2 linked regions of the Mus musculus genome follow. The protein of the gene in region 1 interacts with the protein of each later gene in a pairwise test. Links are inferred from orthologs where the notes say so. Each region holds a gene or a part of one and is shown in the gene's direction. Other genes may lie near its edges.

Region 1 (4,950 bases):
CCCCCAGTGCTGAGATTAAAGGTGTGTGTCACCTGCTTTCTTTTCCTTTCTAGTCTTTTCCACTTGGATTCTGGTCACAGCCTAAGTGTGAGAAGTTTTTGTTTGTTTGTTTGTTTGTTTGTTTTGTTTTGATCAAAGATGGCTAGCTTGCCCAAGGTCCAGTATTCCATAGTCCGTGCTCCCAGCCCCATCTTGGGACACTCTTGTAGTTTATGTCAAACCCCAAATACCAGGCATTTTTTGATACTTGCTGGTCATAAGCTTCCTCTTGGTGTGGTTTATGATGTGCCAATCCCATCAGAATGACGCTGAGCTCCTACCAACGGGATGAGTCACCTGATAGCACGATAGCACGTGTGTCAGAATGGAATGGAACGGAACGGAAGTACCCTTGCAGCTTGCGTGTGCTTGTCTGCCAACTTGGGGTCACTGCCTTCCTGGTTTACTTTCACTTGGTTCACACGCAGGGATATTCTTTCCCAACACAAGTATGCTTTCAACTTTCCTGTACTGGGATCCCTTGCTCATGCGCTGAAGGCCCCCTGCCTGCTCGTGGCCGACCTCCACACTGGCTCTCCCACACCACCATGCCTCTTCCCTTCTTCGTTCTCCTCCCGGCAGCTATGAGTTACAACTTGCCTGCCGTTCCCGCCCCCACCCCCAACCCTGGCCCCACTGCCCGCCCTCAGCTCTCTGTATCAGTTCTTAGATGCTTTCATTCACGTGACCATAAAACCCCAAGAAGGGACCCTGATCCCACAGTATCACATTGGCTCTGACGGACTCCCCAAGAGCCTCACTAACAAATCCTCCTGCATGTTTTTTGGTTAGGTTTTATTGCTGTATTGTAAAGACCATACCCAAGAGCAATTTGGGAAGGAAACTGATTTATTTGCTTTACAGATTACAGTCCAAAGACATTTTTAAAAAGAACTGAAGTAGAAGCCACGGAGGGAACGCTGCTTATTGGCTTGCTCCCTGTGCTTACAGCACCCAGGACCACAGGGGGAGGCCCCACCCACAATGGGCTGGGCCGTCCCACATCAATCATGAATCAAGCAAACGACACCAGTCTTGCCTACAGGCCATCCGATGGAAGCACCGAGTCCTTTTCCTAGATATCTCTAGTGTGTATCAAGCTGACAGGGGAAAACAAAAATAAGTCCAGCCAACAACAAAACCCACCAGGACCCAGCCTTTTAGGGTATTAGAGAAAACAAATTAGTTTCAGAACCAGAGATGGCACCAGACTATGTATAGATTTGTAAGATGTGTAAAAAGATGACATATGCTCTTTGTGGGTCGCGTTGGCACACGCCTTTAAGGCCAGCACTCAGGAGGCAGAGGCAGGCAGATCTCCCGAGTTCGAGGCTAACCTGGTCTACACAATGAGTTCCAGGACAGTCAGGGCTACACAGAGAAACCCTGTCTTTCTTTCTTTCTTTTTTTTGGGGGTGGGGGGTTTCGAGACAGGGTTTCTCTGTGTAGCCCTGGTTGTCCTGGAACTCACTTTGTATGTAGACCAGGCTGGCCTCGAACTCAGAAATCCACCTGTCTCTGCCTCCTAAGTGCTGGGATTAAAGGCGTGCGCCACCACGGCAGGATGAGAAACCCTGTCTTGAAAATTCACAAAACCAAAACCAAATCAAACCAACAAGAAACCCCAACTCCGTTCTTTCCCAGCGACAGAGAAATAACTAGAGCAAAGAGGAGAACAATAAAACTGCTTCCTGGAGAGAACTCGACATGGGGTCGCGAGGACATTTTAATCTCTCAGTGTCCTCGTGACGCTGGTAACGCCAAGTAAGACTCCAGTGCCTGGCGACGGCTCGCCCTGGAACGAGACGGCCACTCAGCCTCAGTTCCGATGGGAACCAGAAGCAGCGCGAGGCGGGATCACCGGCCCTTCCGGGTTGCAGACACGCCCCCTCCGGCGTGAAGTCGCTGCCGGGGCAACAGCGCGCCACTTCCGCCTCTGAGCGATGACGTATTTCCGATGCGCCGGTAAAGGCCACATCCGGGTTTGGGCTGGCGGGACCCTCGCAGATTCGGGGACGCTGGGCGAAGGCTGTGTGGCTCTCGCGGATGCTGAGCGAGGTGAGCAGGCGGCGGGGTGGCGTCCCGGGAGCGCGGGCTGAGGCTCCGAGGCTCCGTGACGACGGCTTTACGGTTTCCCTGCGCTCCGGGCCCGCTGCTGACATTGAGCTGAGCGTCTCCTGTCCCCTGTGCTGGGGAGGTGGCGGTGCTGTAATTGAGTGGGCCTAGGGCTTCCTGCTCCTTTGAGGAAACTCAACATGTGCTGGTTGCTGGGGTCGGAACCTGTTGAGTTTCGCCGGTGCATAGTGAGGAGGAGGAGGAGGAGGAGCAGCGGGGGGGGGGGGGAGCTGTTAGTCACCGCGGAGCCGTTTTCACGCTGTCAGTCACTGGTGTCACATAGTGAGGATGTTACTGTGCAATGCACACAGTGTCGGGTCGGGACCTTTGAATGTGATAACCACACTCACAGGTGTTCATAGAGGCGCGATTTAGACTCAGGCTGGGGTGTTAAGTGTTAATGATTTTCACAATCATTTTGAAGGATTCACTTCGCAGTCCTGACTTGTAATGAGTGTGAACCTGAAACCCGATCATGGAGTGGAAGAAGATGCTTTTTTTTTTTTTTCCTTTTTCCTCCCTTTCCCCCCGTTTCTGTTTTTTGTTTGTTTGTTTGTTTTGTTTTTTGTTTTTGTTTTCAAGACAGAATTTCTCTTTAGCAGCCAGCCCTGGCTGCCCTGGAATTTGCTTTGTAGACCAGGCTGGCTTTGAACTCAGACCCCCCTGGTCTCTGCCTCCCTACTGCTAGAGTCAAAGATGTAAGGGTGCTGTTTCTTGAGCACCTACTGGGAGCGGAGCTTTCGTTGTTGTTTTGTCGGTTTTGAGACCAGGCTGGCTTTGAACTTAGAGAGATGGATCTGCCTCTCTGCCTCCAAAGTGTTGGAGCTTTTGTTTTTCGAAAGTATCATCTTAATCAGTCCTTACAAGCTTCTCCTGGAACTGAATGAATGCAGTTATGAGAGAGAGAGATGAATAGCTACCTGGGTAGAACACTGTTTTTTCCCTACCCTCTAGGAGTGACTGCAAAGTGGCATTCAGAAAGACTGCAACCTTCCAGTACCGTAGAAGCCGTTCAGGGAAGGAAACCTTCAGTCCCGTGGAAATAGTATTTCAGAAAATGCTCTGAAGTTTCCCTGGAACTGCAAATTGGCTAGATACAACTTTTCCTGGAGAAGTAAAAAGACCAACCTGGTTTCTGAGGTAATAACATTTAGAGCTGTTGCTTCCTTTCTGTGGCATATGTGCCTGTCATTCTGTGGCCCCGCCCCACGCGTGCATGGTGATTGACTCTGACAAGGCATTGTGCGTTAGGCCCCCTTCGGATGGCTGGGTCTGACTTGTCTCACTTGTCACGGAGCTGGTCATTTTGCCCTTTGTTTAATGGCTGCTTTACTGAGTTGGATCATGAGGCTCATTAATAGCTTTTTGACACTGGCGGATCTTCTGCTAGCCCCAGGTTCTCACAGTGCTGTTCTTGTCACCGTCCTCTAGTGACTGGCCATGTCTCTGTCCCACTTGTACCGGGATGGCGAAGGCCACCTTGATGATGACGATGACGATGAGAGGGAGAACTTTGAGATCACCGACTGGGATCTCCAGAATGAGTTCAACCCCAACCGGCAGCGCCATTGGCAGACCAAAGAGGAGGCCACCTACGGGGTGTGGGCGGAGCGAGACTCGGACGAGGAGAGGCCCAGCTTTGGAGGCAAAAGGTACTGTGTGCTGGGCTGCATGCCCTGGGTCTGGAGGATCGGGAAGGCATCCCAGAAGAGTTTTCTGCCCTTGTAGAGTCCGGGTGCTACAGCATCTTGCTATGTGTTGTTGAGCTGGGGTGGCGAGCTCCCCCTCAGCAGTTACTGTGTGATGGGATCAGGGCTACTTATGGATAGGGAAGTGCTGACCCACCACAGGCATGGCAGCTGTGGGGCCATGCTGTGTCAGGGAGCACTCACAGGGCACTAGAGAACAGGGAGTTTAGAGAGGGTGCTCTGGAGAAAACGCTGTTGGACCAAACGGAGGTAGAAAAGTGAGTAGGTCCACAGGGGAGAGTGGTAGTACAGCCTGGGGTCCACATTAAGATGCTGTCTCAAGTCTCCCCACCTAACTACACTCAGAATGTTTTGATTAATTTTACTTAGGATTTTTATCTGTTTGAGTTGTTCTGACTTTTATCCTTGAAATAGTATCTAAAACAAACACTGTGTGTGTGTGTGTGTGTGTGTGTGTGTGTGTGTGTGTGTTTACAGGCATGCTAGATAAGTGCTGTACCACTCTAAAGCAAAGCAGACACTAAGCTAACACAGTCTTTTCAGTTGTAAAAGGGGGCCCAGTTTGATGCCTCGGAGGTTGTTGCCATGCACACCTGGCTAGCTGGGTTCAGTCACCAGATTCCTACAGGGAAGGGGAAAGGGACGAGATGCTCTACAAATTGTCTGCACAGAGCAATAATGGCATTTTTGAAAGCGTCCAAAGGAAGTAAGATTATTACATCCTAGTCTGAATTTATACTCAACCCTACTGACAGTGGCAAATCTTCAGTTATAGTTTGAATCGAACAGACCCCACGAGTGTAAAATGTGGGCTGGAAGAGGACCCAGGAGCAATTGAGATTGAACTCAATTGCTATTGCAGACCTGAGTGTGGCTCCCAGCCAGTGCCCACCTCAGGCAGCTCACAAGTGCCTCTAATTCCATCTTCAGGGAATCGAGCCTTTGGCTCATCGGGCACCCACAGTGTCATGTGGTTAGGCCCCCCCCCCATATAATATTTTTTAAATGTTAAATGTAAGATTATTGAGGGCCTCTCTCTCTAAGGAATTCTCTTTCGAGCAGCTTCCAGGACAGGGTGTTGCAGAAG
Region 2 (4,680 bases), on another chromosome or scaffold:
GCCTTGGATTCACATGAGATGCTCTCTCAATAAAACAAAACAAAACAAAACAAAAGACCCTTTGCCTGACGCTACATACATTTAATCTCAGCAGTGAAGTGGTAGGGCAGAGGCAGGGGAATCTCTTGAGTGTAGGGTCACTTGAATAAGAGTAAAGATTAAAACTAGCAGGACATAAGAGGGGTTTAATGTTTAGACAGCAGGTTGGATAGATGAAGAGGGTAAGATGCAGGGGGAATTTGGGGAACGCAGCCTCAAAGAGGGAGGTCTTTAGGGGAACACAGAAGGGCAGAGGTCCTGTGACTCTAGTAATATACCAAGGAATCTCTACAAAGAGATTTTCAGGCCAGCCAGGGCCAAATAGTGAGACCTTGTCTACAAACATACCACACCTATAATCCCTGTAATCCCTCTTAGAAAGTGGTGGCAATAAGTTCAGGCCAAAACTGAACTCTAATTTGCCTAGCAAACCGTATTTTAAAGACTAAAACACTTGTGACTGTAGATGCCCCATTCACCAGCATGTACTATGAATGTGGCTCTAAATTATGCACAGAAGACAAGTAGTTTTACATTGTCCCCTCCACCACTACTACCCCTGACCCCCACCACCACCCCTGCGCCGCCAAAAAAATTAGTGCTACTTTTTGGTTAAACTCATTTTGATGTCTGGAGAACATCTAAACTCATTTCATTTATACAGTACAATTTAATCTTGAAAACAGAATCAGCCAACACCCTAGAATGAAGCATTCGCCACTCTAACGAGTGCTTAAAATATGTTGTTTGTGGAAGAGGTTTGCTAGGCAGGAAATTGCCTAGCAGGGAACCTAGCTCAATTGGTAGAATTGAGCTTGATAGCATGAATGAAGCCTCTAGGACCACATGAACCGGTCGTGGTGGTACATGCCCCATAAATTCAGCACTTGGGAAGTAGAGGCAGGAGAGATCAGAAGTTCAAGATTAGAGACTATATAGCCAATTAGAGTTCAGTTTTGGCTACCTGAGAACCTGTCTTTAAAAAAAAAAAAAAAACCAAAACAACCAAAACTAGAAATCCGGTAAAAAACAAAACAAAACAAAGAAACCCCTAGAAATCAGGTAAAGTTGGTTAGATCATGGAGCACTATTTTCAAAACTCTGATTCTTTGCATAATAGAAGAGATGAGCTATTCTTCTGGGCTTGTTTTTAAAGCCAGAGAGAAAAACGTTGGCCCGTGCCCTTACTTCCGTGTAGCTTCACACTCCCTTTGCGCCTGCGCCATCTCCCTGGAGCAGAGGGCGGGGCCAACAGGACTGCCTTAGAATCGCTCCAGTCCTAACGCAGTCAGAATGAGAGGCTCGGATCTTATTGGAGCGTGATCTTGCCTTCTGGCTCCAGGGCGCGTTTTACTGCACTTTACGGCTTCCCATTCACTTCGCTGTGAAGATGGCGTCTGGCAGCGGGGTAGGTGTTGGTGTGACGAGGTTTGAGGGGTCTGGGGGATGGCTTTTCAGAGCTAAATAGAGACAGGCTGTGAGATTTGACTGACTTCCTGACACCTCTTCGCGATCTCAGGGTTCAGGTTCGAGAGCTCCCCCGTAAGGCCTTGGCGCAGGGACAGTGGAATCTCGGAAGTCTCTCGGGTTGGGGGTCCCGAGTCCACCAGACCCCTGGGCGTTCCAGAGAGACTTCTCTTCCGAAAGGTCCTGGGGCCGCCCCGGTGGCCGTTAGGCGGTTCCCTTAGTTTCTCCAGGGCAACAGGCACAGCTACGTATCTTGAGCACCTTTTCCCCCCCTACAGACAAAAAACTTGGACTTTCGCCGAAAGTGGGACAAAGATGAATATGAGAAGCTCGCGGAGAAGAGACTCACAGAGGAGAGAGAGAAGAAGGATGGTGGGTGCTCGCTCCACGAAGGGATAAGGGGACGGTAGAGATGATGCTGTGGCTAGAGAAGGAATGCCTCAGCAACAGGATAGATAAATCACTTGCAGTTAACGAGGCAAACAAAACAAAACAAAACAAAACAGAACAAAACAAAAGCCCTAAAGCTTTTTCCTCTCCTTTTTACGTGAGCTTCCCCTAGGCGTAGCCCATATTCCAAATCAAATCAAATCAAAACCTCCCAAACAAGCGTGTCCAGCTGCTTGGGTCTTAGTTGATTCCAGATGTAACTGCATGAAAACATTGAACATACGCTACTCGGTGTGAGTACCCCTCTTTTGAAAGGGTCACCTCCAGGAAAAATTCAGAACTCCTCAGTTCAACTAGACAACACATAGGAAACACTGTTTACATTTGCTGGCTTTAAAGGGAGAAAAGCTCTTGAGAGTTGGCAGTACCATTGCAAGTCTGAGGCCAGCTTGGTCCACATAGTGACCAGGCCTATGTCTATATAAGTCCAGGCCAATTAGAGTCTTTCCTAGCCTCTTTGAATTGCTACATAAAGTACCTGTTGTGTCCGTTCTTTGAGGAATTAAAAAGAAAAAAAAAAAAAGCATGAGTAGTCTTCTGAATTTTGGGGTTCATAATCTTTTTCCTTTCAGGGAAACCAGTGCAGCCTGTCAAGCGGGAGCTTCTGCGGCACAGGGATTACAAGGTGGACCTGGAGTCCAAGCTGGGGAAGACGATTGTTATCACCAAGACGACCCCACAGTCTGAAATGGGAGGGTGAGTTGCTTCCTGTCCGACTCTTAATACCACAGCTGGCCTAATAAACTGTATTGGTTTTTAGGAAGTGTTGAGGAGAATCCTGGGCCCAGGGATGGCCACCGTTCTGACCATAACCTGATTCTTTGTCTTTCTTTGTCCCCTGAAGTTTGTAGCCCACTCGGTCCTATTTCTAGGAGGGGTGGTTCTCTGGGCTTCTTCCTATTGGTACTGTAATACTTCCCTGATATCTTCAGGGGGGCTATATAGTCTGTTAGAAGACCTGAAGGCTCGGGGTGGGTTTTAGGTGGAGCTGTTAACTATAGTTTTTGTGCACCAAGATTGTGACCTATCGAAGAGTTTCACGGACCTTGTCACCCTTTGCCACCATTCCTTAAAGTCTGTCAAAGTTACAACTTACATCAGGAGACTCAGACAGATAGCAATCCACTGTTGTGATTCCTTTGCTGTGTACATTAAATAGTTAGCAGCATAACATAATAATAGCTCATAGTTTCTGTGGGCAAGGAATTGAGGGGTGGTCACCTTGGAGGTTCTGGACCTGGGTCTCTAATAAAGCCGCAGTTGTGGAATTGACTAGGTTTGCATTCGTTGGGGCTTAAATAAAGTTAGAAGGTCCTCTTCCAGGCCCTCCCGTGCCTGTGGTTCGGAGGCTCAAGTTTATTCTCTGGGCCTGCTTGTAAGGTCATTCACAATGAAGTGTAAAGAGGGACTTTCCCTAAAGCAAGTCATGTGAAGTTTGTCTGTTTTGTTAATTGAGACATTAATTAGACATCATCTAATTTTACCTAGAGATTTGAGTTTCTTTCCTGAAAACAGTAAGATCCTTAGAAACCAGATTGACCCATGTGCTGTTTCTTCCCATTTGTCAGCTACTACTGCAATGTCTGTGACTGTGTGGTGAAAGACTCCATTAACTTCCTGGACCACATTAATGGAAAGAAACGTAAGGCATGGAGGTAGTTGGTGGCTGGAGCTGGGTTGGGTTTTAAAGGTGTGCTGGAGGGCAGGTGTGGTAGAGTGGTTTTCTGGGGCCTTTCGTTTGTTCGTTTGTTTGCTTGCTTGCTTCTGAGTATCCCTGGCTGTGTGCTACCTGTGCATGACCACAGAGGCCAGAGGAGGACGTTGGCTGGCCTTGATGATAATCTGCCCAGTAAATAGGAGCAGGTGAGGCTGAGAGCTTCTTTTAGCCATAGTTATTTTTGTTGTGTACTTTATTATGAAAAGGTAAACAAGTAAACAAACCTAAAAAAGCCAGGGCGAGACTTTCCCGGGGGGGGGGGGGGTGGCTGAGGATGTTATAATGACTTGTCTCCGTTGTTAACCTCACCCAGATCAGCGAAACCTGGGTATGTCCATGCGCGTGGAACGCTCCACTCTGGATCAGGTAAAGAAGCGTTTTGAGGTGAACAAGAAGAAGATGGAAGAGAAGCAGAAAGATTATGATTTTGAGGAAAGGATGAAGGAGCTCAGAGAAGAGGTGAGGCTCTGCTAACCCTGCTCCCCAGCTTGGAGTGTTTTCCTTGTGGACCGAGGGTGGCCCTCTTCCTCCGCTCACTCTCCTAGCTCCAGTTTTGTTCCTGGGTTTCTTTGTACTAGGGCATCTTTGTTCGAGATCCATGAGAAACAGCTCAAAGCCTATCCAGTTTTCTTTGGCTTTTTAGATTAGATCTCTTGGGGTGGGGAGGGGGGGCAATTATTCATTCATTGATTTTTTTTTTTTTTTTTTTTTTTTGAGACAGGGTTTTTCTGTGTAGCCCTGGCTGTCCTGGAACTCACTTTGTAGACCAGGCTGGTCTCGAACTCAGAAATCTGCCTGCCTCTGCCTCCCGAGTGCTGGGATTAAAGGCATGTGCCACCACGCCTGGCGATTTTGTTGTTTTTTTTTTAAAGACAGGTTTGTTTTAGACTAATTATGGGTTCATATCCAAGAGAAGAAAGTTCAAAGCCTCCCATTGCCATCCTGTTCCCATGCTTGCACACATAGCTTTCCCTAAACTTTTTTAAACTATAAGAGGGATTAACTAA

The links. The genes of interacting proteins can lie anywhere in the genome.
Region 2: the proteins of Tfip11 (region 1) and Zmat2 interact in binary tests that used the Homo sapiens proteins (3 or more experiments, as listed by UniProt). The two-hybrid records come from large-scale screens. The link is inferred for Mus musculus from reciprocal best matches to the Homo sapiens genes TFIP11 and ZMAT2.

The regions. Positions count from the first base shown.
Region 1 is NC_000071.6:112,324,377-112,329,326, forward strand, and holds the start of Tfip11 (tuftelin-interacting protein 11), read left to right. Parts: upstream 1-1,992; 5' UTR 1,993-2,097; intron 2,098-3,108; 5' UTR 3,109-3,294; intron 3,295-3,585; 5' UTR 3,586-3,594; coding exon 3,595-3,806; intron 3,807-4,950. UniProt on the Homo sapiens protein: Involved in pre-mRNA splicing, specifically in spliceosome disassembly during late-stage splicing events. Intron turnover seems to proceed through reactions in two lariat-intron associated complexes termed Intron Large (IL) and Intron Small (IS).
Region 2 is NC_000084.6:36,792,513-36,797,192, forward strand, and holds the start of Zmat2 (zinc finger matrin-type protein 2), read left to right. Parts: upstream 1-1,410; 5' UTR 1,411-1,429; coding exon 1,430-1,447; intron 1,448-1,784; coding exon 1,785-1,878; intron 1,879-2,528; coding exon 2,529-2,652; intron 2,653-3,524; coding exon 3,525-3,598; intron 3,599-3,986; coding exon 3,987-4,132; intron 4,133-4,680. UniProt on the Homo sapiens protein: Involved in pre-mRNA splicing as a component of the spliceosome.